5 linked regions of the Sus scrofa genome follow. The protein of the gene in region 1 interacts with the protein of each later gene in a pairwise test. Links are inferred from orthologs where the notes say so. Each region holds a gene or a part of one and is shown in the gene's direction. Other genes may lie near its edges.

Evidence for each region.
Region 2: the proteins of MAD1L1 (region 1) and RNF8 interact in binary tests that used the Homo sapiens proteins (3 or more experiments, as listed by UniProt). The two-hybrid records come from large-scale screens. The link is inferred for Sus scrofa from reciprocal best matches to the Homo sapiens genes MAD1L1 and RNF8.
Region 3: the proteins of MAD1L1 (region 1) and TEX11 interact in a two-hybrid assay, tested with the Homo sapiens proteins (2 studies listed by BioGRID and IntAct). The two-hybrid records come from large-scale screens. The link is inferred for Sus scrofa from reciprocal best matches to the Homo sapiens genes MAD1L1 and TEX11.
Region 4: the proteins of MAD1L1 (region 1) and BAG5 interact in binary tests that used the Homo sapiens proteins (3 or more experiments, as listed by UniProt). The two-hybrid records come from large-scale screens. The link is inferred for Sus scrofa from reciprocal best matches to the Homo sapiens genes MAD1L1 and BAG5.
Region 5: the proteins of MAD1L1 (region 1) and USP15 interact in binary tests that used the Homo sapiens proteins (3 or more experiments, as listed by UniProt). The two-hybrid records come from large-scale screens. The link is inferred for Sus scrofa from reciprocal best matches to the Homo sapiens genes MAD1L1 and USP15.

The regions. Positions count from the first base shown.
Region 1 is NC_010445.4:1,556,536-1,560,841, reverse strand, and holds the start of MAD1L1 (mitotic spindle assembly checkpoint protein MAD1), read left to right. Parts: upstream 1-1,495; 5' UTR 1,496-1,871; intron 1,872-4,138; 5' UTR 4,139-4,150; coding exon 4,151-4,300; intron 4,301-4,306. UniProt on the Homo sapiens protein: Component of the spindle-assembly checkpoint that prevents the onset of anaphase until all chromosomes are properly aligned at the metaphase plate.
Region 2 is NC_010449.5:32,938,306-32,941,818, forward strand, and holds part of RNF8 (E3 ubiquitin-protein ligase RNF8), read left to right. Parts: intron 1-2,236; coding exon 2,237-2,365; intron 2,366-3,513. UniProt on the Homo sapiens protein: E3 ubiquitin-protein ligase that plays a key role in DNA damage signaling via 2 distinct roles: by mediating the 'Lys-63'-linked ubiquitination of histones H2A and H2AX and promoting the recruitment of DNA repair proteins at double-strand breaks (DSBs) sites, and by catalyzing 'Lys-48'-linked ubiquitination to remove target proteins from DNA damage sites.
Region 3 is NC_010461.5:56,589,602-56,593,114, reverse strand, and holds part of TEX11 (testis-expressed protein 11), read left to right. Parts: intron 1-263; coding exon 264-372; intron 373-1,305; coding exon 1,306-1,426; intron 1,427-3,513. UniProt on the Homo sapiens protein: Regulator of crossing-over during meiosis. Involved in initiation and/or maintenance of chromosome synapsis and formation of crossovers.
Region 4 is NW_018084979.1:2,107,334-2,111,633, reverse strand, and holds the start of BAG5 (BAG family molecular chaperone regulator 5), read left to right. Parts: upstream 1-1,497; 5' UTR 1,498-1,815; intron 1,816-1,833; exon of another isoform or gene 1,834-2,307; intron 2,308-3,288; 5' UTR 3,289-3,316; coding exon 3,317-4,300. Other genes in the region: APOPT1 (apoptogenic protein 1, mitochondrial), read right to left, coding at 1,307-1,429. UniProt on the Homo sapiens protein: Co-chaperone for HSP/HSP70 proteins. It functions as a nucleotide-exchange factor promoting the release of ADP from HSP70, thereby activating HSP70-mediated protein refolding.
Region 5 is NC_010447.5:27,079,514-27,083,062, forward strand, and holds the end of USP15 (ubiquitin carboxyl-terminal hydrolase 15), read left to right. Parts: intron 1-1,067; coding exon 1,068-1,250; 3' UTR 1,251-3,036; downstream 3,037-3,549. UniProt on the Homo sapiens protein: Hydrolase that removes conjugated ubiquitin from target proteins and regulates various pathways such as the TGF-beta receptor signaling, NF-kappa-B and RNF41/NRDP1-PRKN pathways.

The DNA.
Region 1 (4,306 bases):
CAGGAAGGACACATGGGGGACCTTTTTTCCTAAGGGAGGGGCAAAGATAAAAAGATGAAAAGGCCTACTGGGGGGAGGACAGAAACAGTGGGAGGCAGAGAAACACACACAGACACCTTTACATAACGTTCTCCTCTCCTGCTGTGACTGAGCGTGTTACGGAGAAACAGGCTTCCATCCTCCCTCCAAGAACAGCCCGCAGTTTCCAGGTGGTATTTTGGCTACCCAGCGTAATGTGGACAAATGTGAAACTTCAGTCTGGGGATTTTTTCCCATCTCTCGGGTGAATGATCTGGAAATACATCCATTCTTGAAGCAGTGACGAGTTCCCAGGACAATCAGAGAAGACATTTGGTGTGAATTATGCATGGGGTGGCTGTGCTTTGCTTTTTCACTGGAAAATGTTGCTGTAATATTCCAGGCTCCAAAGACTTAAAGGTCGTTGCCAAAGCAAGCAGCGACATGGTGTGTTCCCTTACCTCCGTGCCCCTGTCCAGGGTTGTGATGCGACTCTGTAAGGTCGTATAGGCCGTAAGAGGAATGAATGTCTGTGTTTTTAAGTTTTTGTTTTTTGTTTTTTTTTAAATTGATTGGTTTCCTCAAAACCAGTTCCTGGAAATGCTATAAAATTGGGTTGTGATAATCGTACAACTATAATAAAATTCATTGAGTGATAAAAGTTATTTATTTATTTATTAAAGTTTTTTAAAAAGAGTATATTGATGGGAGTCCTGTGGTACAGCGGAAAGGAATCCGACTAGTACCCTTGAGGATTCGAGTTCGAATCTGGGTGGGGGATCCGGCGTTGCCCTGAGCTGTGGTGTAGGTCACAGATGCGGCTCAGATCCCGCAATGGCGTGGCTGTGGCCTAGGCCAGCTGCTGTAGCTCCTATTCGACTCGTAGCCTGGGGACTTCCATATGCTGCTGGTGGGGCCCTAAAAAAGCCCCCCCCCAAAAGAGTTTATTGACTGTAGCGATGATTAAATCCCAAGACTGCTTGGGGAGGGGAGAGGTAGCCAGGAATCTCCATCAGGGTCCTAGGGCTGAGTCCAGATCCCTGAAGGATGCTGCTGGCCAGACTCAAATTTTTCGTTTTGTTTTCGTTTGCAGTCGGCCAGTTAAGACCGGAGAGCCCTCCGTCCTGCCTTCACTATCACATTCTCCGCTTTCCCATCCAGTTCGTTCTGGCCACACTAACGTGTCTTTTATTCTCTGGAAGAAGGGAATTCGGTGCAGGCCCTCGGGCGCCTAGCTGGCGCGGGAGGCACGCTGCTGGACCCAGGTGGCCGTAATTCGAGGAGGGACAGGCTGACCACTGCTCCCTGGAGAACTGAGACCCAGACGAGGTCCCCGCGCCCCGACGGCTCCAGCTTAGAAGCGCAGCCTTTTGTGAGGACAGCTTAGTAGAATAGCATTTGGCCTTTTTTCAGAGGGCCTTGTGAAAAGTTAAAACGCATTAACTCAAGCAAATACCGTAGTGGTAAAACCGGGGAAAGGGAGTGCAGGGAAGTTTGGCTCTAAGAGGCCACCGTTGGACGGTGCTATTCCACACAATACGGCGCAAGGCAGCCGCCAAGTGGAAGCCGACACGCTGGAGGTGGGGGCACCACGAGAGTCCCGCGGGCGGGCCGGCTTTGGTTCCGAGTCCCCTCTTTGCGGCCTCTGCCGGGAGTAGGTAGCTCCGGGGACGGACGCGGAGTCCCCGTGACCTGCAGGCGCGCAGATCCGGAGCTCACGGCTGGTCCCGCCCAGGTCTCGCGAGAGCGCAGCCGCACGTCTCGCGATACGTGGGCGCGGGCGTAGAAGAGGGAGATCTGAGCGGCGGCGGCAGCAGCAGCAGCGGCGGCGCCCGGTGGGCTGAGGCGGTGAGGTGAGCGGCCGGGGTGCCCCGGCGGGCGCCGCGCTGCGCCAGGCTGAGCCGGCGCGGGGCGGGCGGGGGCGAGGCTGGGGTCCTTCCGAGGCTGGGCGGGCGGGCGTCCCCAGCGCGCCTCCTCCGAGAAGGGCCGCTGGGAATGGTCGGGGTCTCGAGCGCCGAGGGGGCGGCCTCGCGGCAGCGGGTCCCTCACCCGCCGAGGCTCGGGGGCCGGCGGCGCTCTCCCCGCTTCCCGCGCGTCCTCGCCGGGCGGCGTGGGACTTGCCGCTACTGCCTTTGACAGCCAGGGAAACGGTGGGAAGGGGCAAGCGCCCTGCCCAGGGTCCCACTGCCGGCGGCCCGTGGGAGGCGCGCTCGCGTGCGTTTCGTCGGTGGTGGAAGTTTGGCGAAGGCGCCCGGCAGCAGGTGGAGAACTGGCCGGCCGGCCGGCGAGAGCGCCCGCGGCGGTGTGAAGGGCCGCTGGGCGGTGGGGAGCCCTGTAATGTCTGTCCTTGGGCCAGCAGGGCGGGAGAGAGGCAGGGTGCCCGGGACTCTGAGCTCCGAGTCCGTGGTGAGGGCGCTGGAAGGTTTGGGTCGCTTGGATAAAGAGGGTGGAATTTGAGCTGCCGCCTCGTGGGGCAGCGGAGTTCGGGGCAGGTGAAAGCGGGTACGTTCTCTTCCTGCTGGGGTATTGCGGGCATCGGGTGTGAGAAGGGGGCGTGTTGGCCAGATTTACCATCACGGGAGGGGAAGAGTGGTCTAATCTTGGCAGATGGAGGACTGGCCTTCCAGAGCAGAGCCCCGTGCCTCGCTGCGCGGGCCTGCATCGCTCGCCAGGCGCGCAGCTCCGTGAGCGCCCCTCGCTGGTTTCTCGTCCCACCCATCTTCCACTTGTGGTTTGAAGGAGAGTGGTGAGGACAGCCGAGTTGTGCCGGGCGTGGAAACCACGGCCTCCGGAAGACAGGCTCTGGGTGCACAAGGCCAGGGTTCTCCTTAAACGGGAAATTCAGGAGCAAACCAGGTCTTCTTTTTCGGGGGGAAGGGGGCTCCAGCTGGGGGAAGGTGCGTTCCGTCTCATACTTAAGGGAAATCAGTGAGAGCTGGCTCTTTTCCTGAAGACGATGCACCTGTAGGAATTCACACCTCTTGGTGCTTCGCTGTGCCTGGGACACTGCCACACCTTCCGGCTGGTAGACAGCGTGGTGTGAGGCCATAATAAGCACAGATTTGGGGGCGCAGGTTCTTTGCTGCTGCTTGTCCTCAGACCTTCATACACTGGCCTGGGGAGTACACTCAGCCTTAGAGCCAGACAGACCAGGGTCCAATCTCAGTTCTGTAACCATTTATTTGTTCTTTTTAGGGCCACCCCTGTGGCAGAGGCATATGGATGTTCCCGGGCTGGAGGCCGAATCAGAGCCGCAGCTGCCAGCCTACGCCACAGCCACAGCAACGCCAGATCCGAGCCCCTTCTTTAACCTACACCACAGCACACGGCAACTCTGGATCCTTAACCCCGCCCTGATCAAGGCTGGGGCTTGAACCTGCATCCTCGTGGGCATTAGTCGGGTGGCTGAAGGTGGTCGAGACACCCATTAATGTCATTGCTAACCTGTAATTAGCATTGCGGGGGTGCCCTCCTGATTGCCACTGTCGTGTGCTTTTTATTTTTTGTCTTTGCAGGGCCGCTCCCGCAGCATATGGAGGTTCCCAGGTGAGGGGTCTCGTCGGAGCTGCAGCTCCGGCCCACAGCACAGCCACAGCAACGCAGGATCCAAGCTGCAGCTGTGACCTACACTGTTGCTCATGGCAGTGCTGGATCCTTAATTCACTGAGCGAGGCCGAGGTTGAACCTGTGTCCTCGTGGATTCTAGTCGGGTTTGTTACGTCTGAGCCACAGCAGGGACTCCTGTGTTCTTTGCTTCTCATTCCCAGAAGCTAGGCTTTCTGTCAGTGCTCATCTGGGAGGTGCCCAGCTGGACACCCTGACGGCTGGACACCCTGTCCTGAGGGCCGTCTGTCTTTCCAGCTGGTGTGCTCGTCAGCGCTCTGCCGGTCAGCAGCTTGCTGGCACGTTGTCTTTTTATGCCTCCGTTCTTCTCTGAGAAATTGGCAGCATGTACTCCCCCTTAACCTGGAAGACGGTGCTCACGGACCCTGGAATGTGTTAAGGGCTCTGAGAGCGCATCAGGGTGTGGGGCTCCCTGAAGGCGCCCCTGACTGGGCAGCTGCCAGAGCCGATGGTGCGTGGAAAGGCTCCCCGTGACCCGTCCCTTGTTTTCCTCCAGAGGGAGGTGGCCATGGAAGACCTGGGCGAAAACACCACCGTCCTCTCCACCCTGAGGTCCTTGAACAGCTTCATCTCTCAGCGAGTGGAGGGAGGGTCTGGACTGGACGTGTCCACCCCTGCGCAAGGTTCTCTGCAGATGCAGTACCAGCAGAGCATGCAGGTGAGT
Region 2 (3,513 bases), on another chromosome or scaffold:
AGGTTTAGTTTTTACATTACACCCCAGCTACTGTGTGAAGAATGGAGGCTAGCACAGGAGTAGAAATAGTGCTACTGGAGGAAGAAGTGTTGTTTGGATTAAGCTAGGAGCCACTGAGAGAGAGAGGGAGAGGGAAGGAGAGAGAGAAGTGAATAGATTTAGGACATATTTGAACTACAGCCAGTAGATTTTGCTGATGATTTGAATGTGGGCATGAGGGACAGAGAGCAAATCAAAGATGGCTCCTGGGTTTTGGGCTAAGCAGTAGGTTGGATGGTGGTGTCAGTTGCTGGGATGAGAGTTTATGGGGAGGAATAGATTGGAGCAGCGAGTCGTTCATGGTGGTCTTTAAGAGACTAAGGAGGACAGGCATGATTCTGAAAGATTTTCAAGAGGAACAAAAAGGGCAGCTTTTAGAAAACTACAGACATTTGGCTTAGTGTTCCCAGGTAAGGTCTGGATATGGGTCATTGAAGAGGGGCTTGTGCAGCAAGAAGAATAAGCAGGGCATTCTGCAAGCTGGATCCCGGAAGAATTTCATTTCCTTCCTTGACAGGGTTGTCATGAACTAGATTGGTCGGTCAGCAAAGTATGATGCATGTGAATTGGGTCGTCTTTGCAACCTTTTCCAAAGGCTCTCATGATGTTCTTGTGGGTAAGATGGAAAATACAGACTTTTCCATCTTTTGATTGGATTATAACTGGTTGAAAGTATACCCAGATTGTGTGTTAGAATGTTGGTTTTTTTGTGTGTGTATTTTTAGGGTTGCACCTGTGGCATATGGAAGTTCCCAGGCTAGGGTGTCAAATCTGAGCTGTAGCTGCTGGCCTACACCTCAGCCACAGCAAAGTGGGATCCAAGCTGCATCTGCAACCTACACCATGGCCATGCCGAATCCTTTAACCCACTGAGCAAGGCCAAGGGTCGAACTTGCATCCTCATGGATGCTAGTTGGGTTCAGTATCACTGAGCCACCATGGGAACTCCCTTAATTGTTGAATTTTTTTGTGTGTATTTTTAGGGTAGAATATTTGCTAGGCTTTCCTAAGAGCTTTGCCTTTGGCTACAACCTGTTTTAATCTTCTTAATCTGTGTCCTGAATGAAGGTACAGAAGGCATCATATCAATTTGGTGGGTGACTTAAAGCCAGAATGGATATTGAGTGTGTCTGATAGCAGATTAAAAATTCAGAAAGGTCTTGACAAGCTAATGATAGGCTAAACTAACAAGATGACATTTAATAGGAATCAATGTAAGGTCCTGCACTTGAATCCACATTTGCCAGTTAGTCTAGGACAGAAAAGACATGACTTAGCATAGGAATTCTTTGGAGGGTTAGTCCAAGAAATTTAATCATTCCTAAGCCTAAGGGTATGCTGGCAGTGTGATAGATCTACTGTGAAAGCTAATGTTATTTATATTCTCCACTGATAACATCTAGAACTGGGAAAGTGATACTTGTATTCGACTATATAATAAAAAATCAAGTTTGTTTTTCTTGATATGACATCTAGGAATAACACCAAAAATCTCTTCACAGACCTATTAAAATGGCAAGAAGACTCAAACCTATGACATGGAGTTATGTCGAAGTAATAGGAACATAGGGCCAAGAAAAGGGAAGATTCCACAGATGCACTATAGCTCTCATGTGAAGGGGAACTGGAGATTTTCTGGTTGTGGCCAGGGCAGAGCTTGGGCCAGTGGATGGAAATTATAGGGAGAAAGATTCCAAGTCAGAGCCATTAAAAAGTTGGCGGGACTGTCTTGTATCATAGCTATAGTTCTTGGCCGTGTAGAAAACTAGTTAATGGGGTGTGTAGAGAGAATTCCTCCATCCCATGAGTGGTTGATGCAGGTGACCTTTCAGAGTCCTACCAACCCTGACACCCCATGATTAACTCCGTTCAGCTGTCTCTTGTCACAGCTTTTTGCCTTTTTCTTTCTTTCTTTTTTTAAACAAGTGGCCGCACCTGCAGCATATGGAAGTTCCTAAGCCGGGATCGAGCCACAGCCACTGTAGAAGCAACACTGAGCCACACGGGAAGTCCATTTTTTGCCTTTTTCTATCCACTGGCTTCTATGGCAGCTGAAGGAGATAGCCAGTGAGCTGCTTGCCTTTCTGCTCTGGTTTCCTAAGTCAAGACTTGTGGACACTGCTGGTTGACAAGATTGTAATGACCTCCCTCTTCAGCACAATGGCTGATTGTGTCTACGTTGTTGTTGTCTTCTTAGGTGACTGTAGGTCGAGGATTTGGTGTCACATACCAGTTGGTTTCAAAAATTTGCCCTCTGATGATTTCCCGAAACCACTGTGTCTTGAAGCAGAATGCCGAGGGCCAGTGGACAATTACGGACAACAAGGTAACTGCAGAAGACTAATAATGTTTATTGAATTTTTGTTTATTTTTAAGTTCCTTTATTTTTTGCAGTGGTAGAGAACTAAAAGACTCAAAAATATATCTTCTCCCCTAGCTACTGACTTGTCTTTCCCAGAAATGACTGCTTCTCTGTGCTGCCAGAGATTAGATTATGCCAAAAGAAGTTCTAATGACTTGAAGTTAGTTACTTTGAAGGGAACACCTGAATTGGGGCAGTAGGTCCTGTTCCAAAAAGTAGACTAAGTTACCAGGGGACTTGGTCTCTTGTGAGTTGAAGGTCCAAAGACCTTGGGAATCTGACAGAGATTTTGGAGTGCTCCTGTGGAGGAGGGAGGAACTGAGCTGATTTCACTCGGGTCCTCTTACTGCTCCTTTTCTTTTTTTTTCTTTTCTTTTTTTTTTTTCTCCGCTTAAAACAAATTTGAAAACCACAGGTTTAGTGTGAATACTAAGGCAGGTGAAATAGTGTATAGAGCTGAGCAATTAGGAAGACCCTAAAGTACAGATATACAATCACCTGGGAATGCAGTGAAAATAGACACTGTGAAATGAGAGAAATTCCAATATAAACAATTAAGGATTAGGAAGTGTGAAATGTCTTCAGACACCATTTTGCACTACTCTGGTTGGAAGGCATATAAAGATACCTATTAGAAGGAAGTGTATGAAGATGGTTCTGAGATCAGTTCCAATGGATGTTGGGAGGGGGGAGATCTCCCCTCCACATACCACAAGCAGTGCATACACCAGCTGGATGTCTTGCAATTCAACTCAATCCTCTTCTGTCTACCCGGAGATAGCATCAGATTCCACAGGTAGAGGGCTCCATCCCACAAAACCACTCTCCTCTCAGGTGCCATTCACAAGCCCAGGTTAACATCTGTGCTTCTGACACGTGAACCTATTATAGGTTGGAGGTTCCAAGGACCCCATCCTAGATCTCCAGGAGCCATTTGCAGGTCCAGATTGTTACCTGTACTTCTGACTGACTGGCTGTAAATCAGAGGTTCCCATGGCCACCTCCCTTTTTGGATTCAGTTAATTAGTTAGTTATTCGCAGCCAGGAACACATTTATTTACATTTACCAGTTAATTATAAAAGGAAATGGTGAGGTGAGGGATACAGGTGAA
Region 3 (3,513 bases), on another chromosome or scaffold:
GTCATAGAAACAGTAGGTTCTCTGTTGATTTTTGCTGAAGAAGAGGTATAACCTGGTGATCCTACCATGTTACTCTGCCCAAAAAGGAGGAGTTATCTCTGAAAGCCATCACAGATACATCATTTTATAAAATTCATTTTTGGGTTTTTGTGTTTATTTTTGTTCATCTGTTTCAGGTCAGTTTCATTAGAGAAAGCAAGTTGTAGCCTGGGATGACAGCTATGATTATGGTGTTCACAATCTTTTTGCTTCCCTTCCTATAGCATTAGCGATGGAAATGCCTGCACATTATCCTTCTATTGCTCTAAAGGCCTTGAAAAAGGCTTTATTGCTCCACAAAAATAAAGAGTCCATTGATGTTTTGAAATACAGGTTAGTAAATATAATTCAACTTTGAATCTTAATTTCTGATAGCCAACAGTGCTATAGTCAATGTTCCATAAATCATCAATCATACTCACTGACTCAAAAGATGATTTAGGTACTCCTGTTAACTCCTAGACTAAAAAGCCCTCAGAACAGCCCCATATTTAGAGCTGTATTAGAGACCAAAGCAAAGTGAAGGAGTCTGGTTTTCCCAAAGGAGAAAAAGAGGGGGAAATTTGCTTCTTTGCATGTCTATGTATATAATGAAATTATTAATTAAGTACTTTCTTTCATTACTAAATATGCCAAGTGTACAGAAAAATAGAGATTAATATAATAAACAGCAGTGTATCCACCACTCAAATTTAACAGATATTAACATTTGCTATATTTGCCTCATATATTTTGTTCTAAGAACCCTCCTTTAAAGACCAATAAGTGCTGTACATAATATAAAACAGTATTTATTGGAGATTTTATGTTCTCTATGCCTAGACATGAGGGAAAAATAGATGTTGTGTGATTTTTCTCTGGAAAACTTCATTACAATCTTCCTTTTCTGAGACATGAGAGACAGTTCTCCTGGAATCATTCCCAATTTAAATCCCAATTCCCTTCCCCCATTTGAGGATGTAACAAGATGCTTTAAAGTGCCTGTAGATTAAACCAGCTCATAAAATGTAGTAAACAGACACAACTCAGTGCAAGAAGCTAAAAAAAAAAGTGAAAGACAACCATAGACATAATAAAAGGAAGGATTGGTCAGCCCCTTTTATATCTTCAAAAAATCTGTCTTCTGAGCTTGGAAAATCAAATTGAAGGAAGAACAGAAGTGTTTTGAAGCTCTTAGTCTGGGATGAAATCCAGATCTTACTTATCTTAGCCATGAAGTCAATGATTTCTTTCCTATGGGATGAGTTTTCTCTTTTTGATTTTCAGCAAATGTATGCACAGCTTGCTTAACCTCTTAGTGCCAGATGGGACACTGAGTGCCGAGCTCTGTCCCCTGGAAGAAGTTTGGGGCTATTTTGAAGATGCTCTGAACCTTATTAGCCACACCGTAAGTCAAAAACTGATAATAAACTTTAAGCTAATTTTAAAAAACTGAATTGTCTTGTATATTAGAAATTAGAATAATGCCTTTTGATATGAGTTTTAGGGTAAATAAAGTCATATTCCAATGTGGTTATACATAATAAAATTTCCCTGGGTTCATGAAATGGAGTTAAAAGTAGAAAATTCCTAATACAAGTTAACTATGGATTAGGTTAAAATAGCAGTACCACCTGGCATTCTGAATTAGTTTGTATTTTCAAAACCTGGTAGAATTATTATTTCCCTGAGAAGATGATAATGACTCTTTGAAAAAGTTTATTGTTATTCCTGCCATTTCTGAGATAGGTAATAAAGAAGAAGAAACACTGAACACCTATATTTTAGTCCCTCTGCCAATTTTTTTCATTTTAGCACAGGTTCATTCAGTAATTTATTATTTACTTGTTTGTTTATTATTAAAGTATAGTTGATTTAGAATGTCGTGCCAATTTCTGCTGTACAGCATAGTGACCCAGCCATACATATATATACATTCTTTTTCTCATACTATCTTCCATCATGTTCTGTCCCAAGAGATTGAATATAGTTTCCTGTGCTGTATAGTAGGACCTCATTACTTATCCATTCTAAATGTAATAGTCTGCATCTACCAATCCCAAACTCCCCATCCATCCCACTCCCTCTTCCTTCCCCCTTAGCAACCACAAGTCTGTTCTCTATGTCTGTGATTCTGTTTCTGTTTTGTAGGTAGGTTCATTTGTGCCATATTTTAGGGTCTACACATAAGTGATATCATATGGTAACTGTCTTTCTCTGACTTACTTCACTTAGTATGAGAATGTCTAGTTGCATCCATGTTGTTGCAAATGCCATTATTTCATTCTTTTTATGGCTGGGTGGTATTCCATTGTATATGTGTACCACATCCTAGTCTTTTCATCTGTTGGTGGACATTTAGGTTGTTTCCTTCCATATTTTGGCTATTGTGAATAGTGCTAAAATGAACATAGGAGTGCATGTATATTTTTAAATTATAGGGTTTTTTTTTTTTTTTTGTCTTTTTGCTATTTCTTTGGGCCGCTCCCATGGCATATGGAGGTTACCAGGCTAGGAGTCCAATCGGAGCTGTAGCCACCGGCCTACGCCAGAGCCGCAGCAACGCGGGATCCGAGCCGCGTCTGCAACCTACACCACAGGTCACGGCAACGCCGGATGTTAACCCACTGAGCAAGGGCAGGGACCGAACCCACAACCTCATGGTTCCTAGTCGGATTCGTTAACCACTGCGCCACGACGGGAACTCCTAAGGTTTTTTTTGGATGTATGCAGCAGTGGAATTGCTGGATTGCTATTCAGTAATTTTTAAACTAGCTTTATTAAGATATAATTTACATACTATAAAATTTACCCATTGTATAATTCAATGATTTTTAGTAAATTTATAATTATACAACTATCTCCATAATCTGGTTTTATATTTCCATTACCCCCCCCAAAATTTTCTATTGCCCATTTTTTCAGTCAATCTCTGCTCCCATTTTCAGGCCCAGGGAACCACTGATCTGTTTTTTCTGTCTCTATAGATTTTTCTCTTTCTAGACACTTCATATAATGGGATCTTATAATATGTGACCTGTGGTGTCTAGTTTCTTTCAATTTAGCTTACTGTTTTTGAGATTCACCCATGCTTTAGCATGTATCAGTATTCCATTCCTTTCTATTGCTGAGTAAATAAAATGTTATTATATTCTATTGAATGGATATGTCACATTTTGTTTATTCACTCACTAGTTGGTAAACATTTAACTTGTTTCCACTTTAAAAAAAATCTATTGGAGTATAGTTGACTTACAATATTGTATTAGTTGACTTGTTACCACTATTACAAATAATGCTGCTATGAACATTTGTGTACAAGTCTTTGTTTTCAAAAGCTTGTTTTCAGTTCTCTTGAGTACATGAATTAATGGGTCATATGGTAGCTCTCTGTTTGAGGAACTGCAATCTGTTTTCCAAAGTTGCTGCACTATTTCACATTCCTACCAGCAGTGTCTGAGGGTTCTAATTTCTCCACATCCTCATCAACACTTG
Region 4 (4,300 bases), on another chromosome or scaffold:
TCTTGGGCCACTCCTGGGGCACATGGAGGTTCCCAGGCCCGGAGTCGAATTGGAGCTGTAGCTGCCGGCCTATGCCAGAGCCACAGCAACTCGGAACCGGAACCTGAGCCACGTCTGCAACCTACACCACAGCTCACGGCAACACAGGATCCTTAACCCACTGAGCAAGGGCAGGGATGGAACCTGCAATCTCATGGTTCCTAGTCGGATTCTTTAACCACTGAGCCACCATGGGAACTCCATCGTTTAAACATTTTATCTGCAGCCCATTCCACACCCTTGGTCCACATTTTCATGTGACTGTTGGTATCAAAGTTTAGGACTCCCTTAAACAAAACGTCATTCCCCAAAGCAGTGCAATTTATAAAAACTGCTACAGATATTAATCGTTATGGCTCTTCAGTCACAGATATACATATATGCACACGGTTTCCAAACCAAATGAACAAAAACATTCAACGTGAAGTCCTACAAAACAGTACGCCATCACTTGAAGAAAAGCGTTACTAATCATAAAGACGACACACACACGTGCTGCGCATGTCAAGAGCTCTTTACATGTAAAAGCCAGTTATCCTCGACAGAAAGACGGTACGTATAAACTTTTTTTTTTTTGTCTTTTCTAGGGCCGCACCCGCAGCACATGGAGGTTCCCAGGCTAGGGGTTTAATCGGGGCTGTAGCCACCAGCCTACGCCAGAGCCACAGCCACGCGGGATCCGAGCGGCATCTGCGACCTACACCACAGCTCATGGCAACGCCGGATCCTTAACCCACTGAGCAAGGCCAGGGATCGAACCCGCCACCTCTTGGTTCCCCGTCGGATTCGTTAACCACTGCGCCACGACGGGAACTCCCCGGTACGTATAAACTTGCTGGCCGGCTATGCTATTCTTTTATTCATTTATTTATTTTTTTACTTTTATTTTCTTTCCGCTGTACAGCATGGGGACCAAATTACTCTTACATGTATACATTTTTTCCCCCACCCTTTGTTCTGTTGCACGGCTATGCTATTCTTAAAGTTCTTTCAACAGCCCCGGGACGGCGGCGGCACCCTCAGTCCCACCTCCACAAGGGGATTGACGCAGGAAACTGGGGGGCTCCAGGGCTTCCCCGCGCTCCACTCGCCTGTCCCGCAAAGCCCGTGCCGGCTCCGGGTCCCCACGCCGGGGGGCTCAGCCGACACCGCAAGTGGCGCGTCGCAGGTGTGAGGGTCCCACAGGGGTCCCTGAGGGGTGCGGCCCGGGTCTGCCGCCCCTTGCGGTCACTCCTCCCGGCCCAACTTTTCCGGGAACCCCACTTACGCGGCTGGGCGCTGCATCCCTGCGCTCAGCGCTGCGCTCGGGGGCGAGCTGACAGCCACGGCCTGAAAAGGCGCGGCGGAGAGGAAGGAGGACCGTCTTGCTTCCGGGCCGCCAGGGCGCCATGGTCGCCGTCCGTCGGCCCGCGCGGCGCACGGCGGAGTCGCGACGGCGCTAGGGGCTGCCTTACGGCACGGTCGCAAAGCCCGAGGACGGGGACAGCGCGGCCGATCGTGCTCTTTCCCCGCGTGTGACCGGCTGCGAGGACGGCCGTCGGCTCGGGCGCGGCCGGGTGGCCGCCTGCTCCTGGGGCTCAGCCGTTCCAGGCTGACTCGCCAGACGGCCAGCGGCGGGCTTGGTCAGGGTCGGGGTGGGCGCGGAAGCCGGAAGACCTTTTCCCAGGGCGAGGGGCTGTTCGGCCCGGGGGCGGAGCTGCCGGGCCCAGGCGACGGCGGGAGCTGCGGCGGCGCGGGGCGTCGGCGGCGGAGTGCGCGATGGCGCGGGCGGCGCAGGTGAGCGAGAACCAGGCGGCGGCAGCCTTCCCTCGGCGCGGGCAGCAGGCGGGCGACCCCCGACTCGGCGCCCTTCCCCGTTGTGGCCGGGCCGGAGTGGGCGCCGCCCCAGCCCTGGGTCCGACGCGGGCCGGCCCTGGTTTCCGAGCCGGGCTCCCCGCAGCCGGCCCGGCCCGAGCCCCCTCCCTCCTCGCCGGCTCCCAGGCCCGGCCGAGCGCGGCCGCCCCCTCCCCCGAGGGCCATTGTGAGGTCAGGGCGGGCGGGTGCGTCGTGGGGTCCGGGCGAGACGCCCGGAGCGGCCGCTGCGGCCAGTAGCTGCCGCTGCCACTGCCGGCCCCTTCACCGGCTGCCCCGTTCAGATCTAGCCGGGAGGGGTGAGAGGGATGCAGCTGGGGGCCCAGCTCCGGAGCCGCACCCCGTAAAGGGCTGATCTTCCATCTCGCCACTTCACCCACGGGAAGCCAAGACCAAACCAGCTTAGACCTCTTCTGGGTAAAGTGCTGGGAGGGAAGGGCGGGCAGGGAAGGGAAGAATCGAGGCCGCCTGCTCTCCCTGGGCCTCCAGAGGCGTGTTCTCGGCTCGGACACCCAGAAGGGATTGGTTTCACTTGAGTACCCGGCCCCCTCCAAAGAGCTGATCGATAGAAACCCAGGAGCATGAAAAAAGTGCGTTGAGCCATTCTGGATTCCTAATGTGAGGCTAGTGAATGGATTGCTCAGAGTTGTCACATGCTTGTGCGATGTATTTCGGAGAAGGGGCAGGAGCATGATGGGGCCTGGGGAGGTACTAGGCCTCCAGAGCCCAGGGTGGTGCTTTGACAGTCCCAGTCGCCTTTCCCGTGGAGCCCTATGCCACTGTAGAGGAGATGTTAGAAGGGCTCAAAGGATGGAGAGGACGGTAGAAGCGGGGACTTGGGCGGTGTCTGCGAACCACTGGTGTTTGTTTCAGTGGCTCGGTTCCTTTTGTTTACTTTTTCCGGAAATTAGTCATAGCTCTTTGTAATGGGGTGAGAGGAGGGCCCTGCTTAGACGTACTGACCTGGAAGGTTAGCAGAGCTACCACAAAGGTGCCCTGCCGCGCCAAAAAAAACAGCTTCCAGTTTTAAGACCTCAGATACCTGCACCTTTTCCAAAATGTTCAGCTTCATGCCATACTTATGATGGCATATGTTGTTTGTTCTCTCTTACAACTGAGGAAACTTGAAGTTCACAGGCCCAGAGCTCCGGCTCCTATTTCCACTCGGCAGTAGCCCTGGTCTCAACCTCGGTGCAGCTGTTTAGCTGTTTTCATGAGAGGGAATTGATGAGTCGCTCTGATTTCTGTGCTTGGATTTCTTCTCCTTTGGACTGCAGTAGCCAGCCTTTTTTTTCGAGCCTGTCTTTTTAGAATGAGAACTGTAGAATGAATTGAATATGTGATTACCATGCTGCAGGCTTTGTAGTGTAATGAGTTATCGTTTTTGCCATCTTTTAGTGCTTGTGAAACTGAACACAACCAAAGTATGGCGATGGGAAACCAGCATCCTTCTATAAGTCGGCTCCAGGAGATCCAAAAGGAGGTAAAAAGCATAGAACAGCAAGTAACTGCTTTCAGTGGCCTGTCAGACGACAAGACGTACAAGAAACTGGAGAGGATTCTAACGAAACAACTCTTTGAAATAGACTCTGTAGATACGGAAGGCAAGGGAGATATTCAGCAAGCGCGGAAGAGGGCGGCCCAGGAGACGGAGCGTCTTCTCAAAGAGCTGGAGCAGAATGCAAACCACCCCCACCGGCTCGAGATCCAGCACATTTTCCAAGAAGCACAGTCCCTGGTGAAAGAGAAGATCGTGCCCTTTCACAGCGGCGGCAGCTGTGTGACGGAGGAGTTTGAAGAGGGCATCCAGGACGTCATCCTGCGGCTGACGCGCGTCAAGACGGGCGGCCGGACCTCCTTGCGGAAGGCGCGGTATCACACCCTAACCAAGGTCTGCGCCGTGCAGGAGATCATCGAGGACTGCGGGAGAAAGCCGCCCTCGCTGCCGCTCTCCGCCGACGCGCACCCCTCGGTGGCCAAGATCAACTCCGTGATGTGTGACGTGAACCGGGCCCGAGGCACGCTGATCGCCCTCCTGATGGGCGTGAGCAGTGACGAGACCTGCAGGCACCTGTCGTGTGTGCTCTCGGGGCTGATGGCGGATCTGGACGCTTTGGATGTGTGCGGGCACACGGAAATCAGGAACTATCGGAAGGAGGTGGTGGAGGATATCAACAAGCTGCTGAAGTACTTGGACTTGGAGGAGGAGGCAGATACCACTTACGCCTTCGACCTGGGCCAGAACCACTCCATTCTAAAGATAGAGAAGGTCCTCACGCGAGTGAGAGAAATAAAAAACGAGCTCCTCCGAGCCCAGAATCCCGCCGAGCTGTACCTGAGCTCCAAAACGGAACTGCAGGGCTTGATCGGTCAGCTGGACGAGGTCAGTCTTGAGAAGAACCCCTGCATC
Region 5 (3,549 bases), on another chromosome or scaffold:
TGCAAAGTTTGAGATACCTGTATGTAATAACCATGTGGAAGTTTTCACTAGGTGGTTGGACTAATAGGACTAGAGTTCAGGGACGAGACCTGGTTTAAGTTATAAATTTGAATTGTCTTTCTTAAGTAACATAGGTGAATCATTCAAACCATAGATCTGAATGATTCCCCCAGGGGAAGATACAAATTGAGGAAGAGCCCACAAAACATGATTTTTTTTTTTTAAGGTCAAAATTTAATGTGCCTACAGAAAAGTCAGAAGAAACTATAGAGATGGAAGATCTAAGGAAAAGTGGTGTAACAGAAGCCAAAAATACTTCAGTGCAGCAAAAAGGAGCACTAAAGCATTAAATGCTACAGAAAAATTGGCTAAAAGAACTAAAAGTGTCCATTTAATTTGCTTTTAGGATGTTTTTGAGCCTAGTGAAAGTCATTTCGTTGGAATGGTTGCAGCAACAGTTAGTTCACATTGAATTGAGGATGTGCATGAGACTGAATGAATCTTAGTCTCCCAGCCTGGCTGTGAGAAAGAGGAAGGGGGGTATATAGCAGCTAGAGGAAGAGGTAGAAAGGAGAGGGATTTGTGATGGGAAAAGACTTTTAAGTATTATTTGTGCTCAGAAGTCCACTAGCTAAGGACTCATTAAACATACACAGTGATGATTGATGGCACAGTTATCCTTAACACAGTAAGAAAAGTTAGGATCTAGAGCAAATATAAAATGAAGTTATTAGTGTTAGAAAGAAACTTAACTGTTTCCTCAGAGATAGGAGAAAAGAGGGCATAGAATTCTATTTCATGTTAGAGTAACTAGGTTAATTAGCGATATAGTTGCCTTTGTCTGTCCAGCTAACTTAAAATAAGAATGGTAAATCCAGTGACCATTCTTCCTTCTATATAGAAGTGATCTTATATTTAATCAGTTTTAGTAACCTTCAGTTGACCAGGTGTGGTTTTTTTTTATGATTTATGCCTTGTCACAAAAATCACTTACCAGCTAAAAATTCATCCTGTATTTAATGTTATCTTTAAGAATCATAACCATTTTAACATTCTTTGTTTAACAGTCCAAAGCAGCATACGTACTCTTCTACCAGAGACAAGACACTTTCAGTGGAACTGGCTTTTTCCCTCTTGACCGAGAAACTAAAGGTGCTTCAGCTGCCACAGGCATCCCATTAGAAAGTGATGAAGATAGCAATGATAATGACAATGATATAGAAAATGAAAACTGTATGCACACTAACTAATGAAAGTCCTAGAAGCCATAAAAGAGAGACTTTCCTGCTGGTGGTATCTATTGAAATGATGAAGTCACCCACCACATTAAACAAAGTCTGAGATGGGGAGTTTCAGATAACCGAATGTAAATCCTTTATCAGATTTTAACTTGTGCAGTACTTGAAGTGAAATACAATGAAAACTTTAACAGAAATTGTCTCTTAATACATTTACAGTCTTGTATTTACAAGCTAAATATATATAGGAAATCACAAATAAATCCCTTTTAAGTTTGCTGCTGTTTTGATGAATTATGTTTTCTTTAATTTTTTGGATGTGAGTTAATTGATGACAAATGTTAAATTTGTGGATGTTGGTCATTTATTTTGCTCTAATAATACTGCAAGAAAACTATGGCTGAACTTAGTTTTTGGATAATCTAGTTCATGTGCATTAGGCTGCCACATACACTACTATGATATTTAGCTGCAGTATCAATGTGGCATAAATACTGCAGTAGTAGTTTTGGAAAACCAAATTTTCAAATCTTTACCTGGTAATCAGTGTGGGCCTATTATAAAATGAAATCATGATACAGGAAACAGTCTTGAAAAAGTTACTTCCCTTTATAGTATCATTTTTTAAAAATCCAGAATATTATGTTCCTCTTAACTGCTACTGTGGAAAACAGGTTCTAGATTTCACATTTCATCTAAAGTCACTTTTCAGTTACATGTAAGTATTTTTACTGCTATTGGGATCTGTTCCTTAGACATTCAGATTATTTTTAACTTACTTTAAAATGCATATCTTTAATCTGGTATTGGTCCAAAATTAAAATTTTTGCTGTCTGTTTTTCTCTACCCCATTTTTTGGTAATTTGGCAACTTTTAGCTCTCCTAAATATGTAATATAAAGACAAAAATAGTATTCTGTATCCATAGTAATAATTACATCAAGCTTTGATGAGAAATTTTTTTCATCTACTGGCCTTTAAATCATTAATAGACAATTGGCTTTAAAGGTAGGTCTGTTAACTTTCTCTGTGTGTTCCTGATGGAATTCACCATAGCCTTACAGCTTTTCTCAGAAGGTAACTTGTTACAAGAGAATTGGCATTTGCATGTTCCAGAGTCAGAACCTGTACAGTATATAAAGCATACAAATCTTGAATTTTACTTTCCTTCACCACATTCAAGGATCCAGGATGCCAAAAATATGTGTGAACATTGGAAACATTTTTCATTTGCTGCTTTTTCCCTTTGATCTAGTTGAAAGAATGTATTGTCAATTGGCATACAATACTGCCTTTAATAGAAACTCTAAATGCTGGGGCACATTTCACATATCGACTACCTGAGCAATTGCTTTGTGTCCCACTCTTACTAAAGCAAAAAGTATGATGTTCTTCACTTGAACTAATCAAATACAATAGATTATAAATTGTGTATTGTAAATAAAAGTTCACTCTGTGAGTGCACATTTTGGTAAATTATTTATTTATGTTAGCATTTAAAAGTAAAAGAAAAATGCATTTGACCAGGATAAATGAGGTATGTTGATCATGGCTTTGCTTTATACCTTGATATTAAAGCTGGTTTTTCATCCTGGTATTTTTAAAGCTGCTTTGGGTTTTTCCTTTTTTTTTTTTTTTCTTTTTTTCTTTTTTCTTTTTTTTTTTTTTCTTTTTTAATGTAAACTAACCTCCTGCATGACAGAGGTTAAAATTTTGTCTGCACTTGAGTTCACTTGAGTTTACATTTGAAATGTGCATGTTTATTTATACAGATTTCAATAAAGCTATTCAAGGCCTTATTTAGTCTTTTATTTCTTACTCTGAATCTTTTAATAAAAATCCCCTATTTGGGGTAGGTGATTATATGCTAGACTTTTTAGTTATCATATAGTTAAAAATAGAAAAGCATGTCAGATCAAAGTGAATCTTGTTATGGACATGTTTTTAAGTTCACTTTTTAAATTTATTTATTAATTTGTTTATATACCTGTTAATCACTGTTGTAGGATCTTGAGATTCAGCAGTAAACAAATATCCCTACACTCAAGAGAGCTTGCAATTTTTCTGCTACCTACCAACTAAAAGACTGTTTCCCTTTTACTGAGATTTAAAGCAAAAACAAAACTATAGCTCTAGATTATAGTCTCTACCTTGATTGTCCGTAGAGACCATTCCTTTTTAACTCCTGTGATTAACTTCTGTTCCCGCTAAAAGAAGTGTATTTTAAAAGGAAAATGATGTTAATATTACCATTGAATTCGTCAAACTCAAATGGCGTTATCAGCTGCAAAAAATAAACTATAAAAATAGTG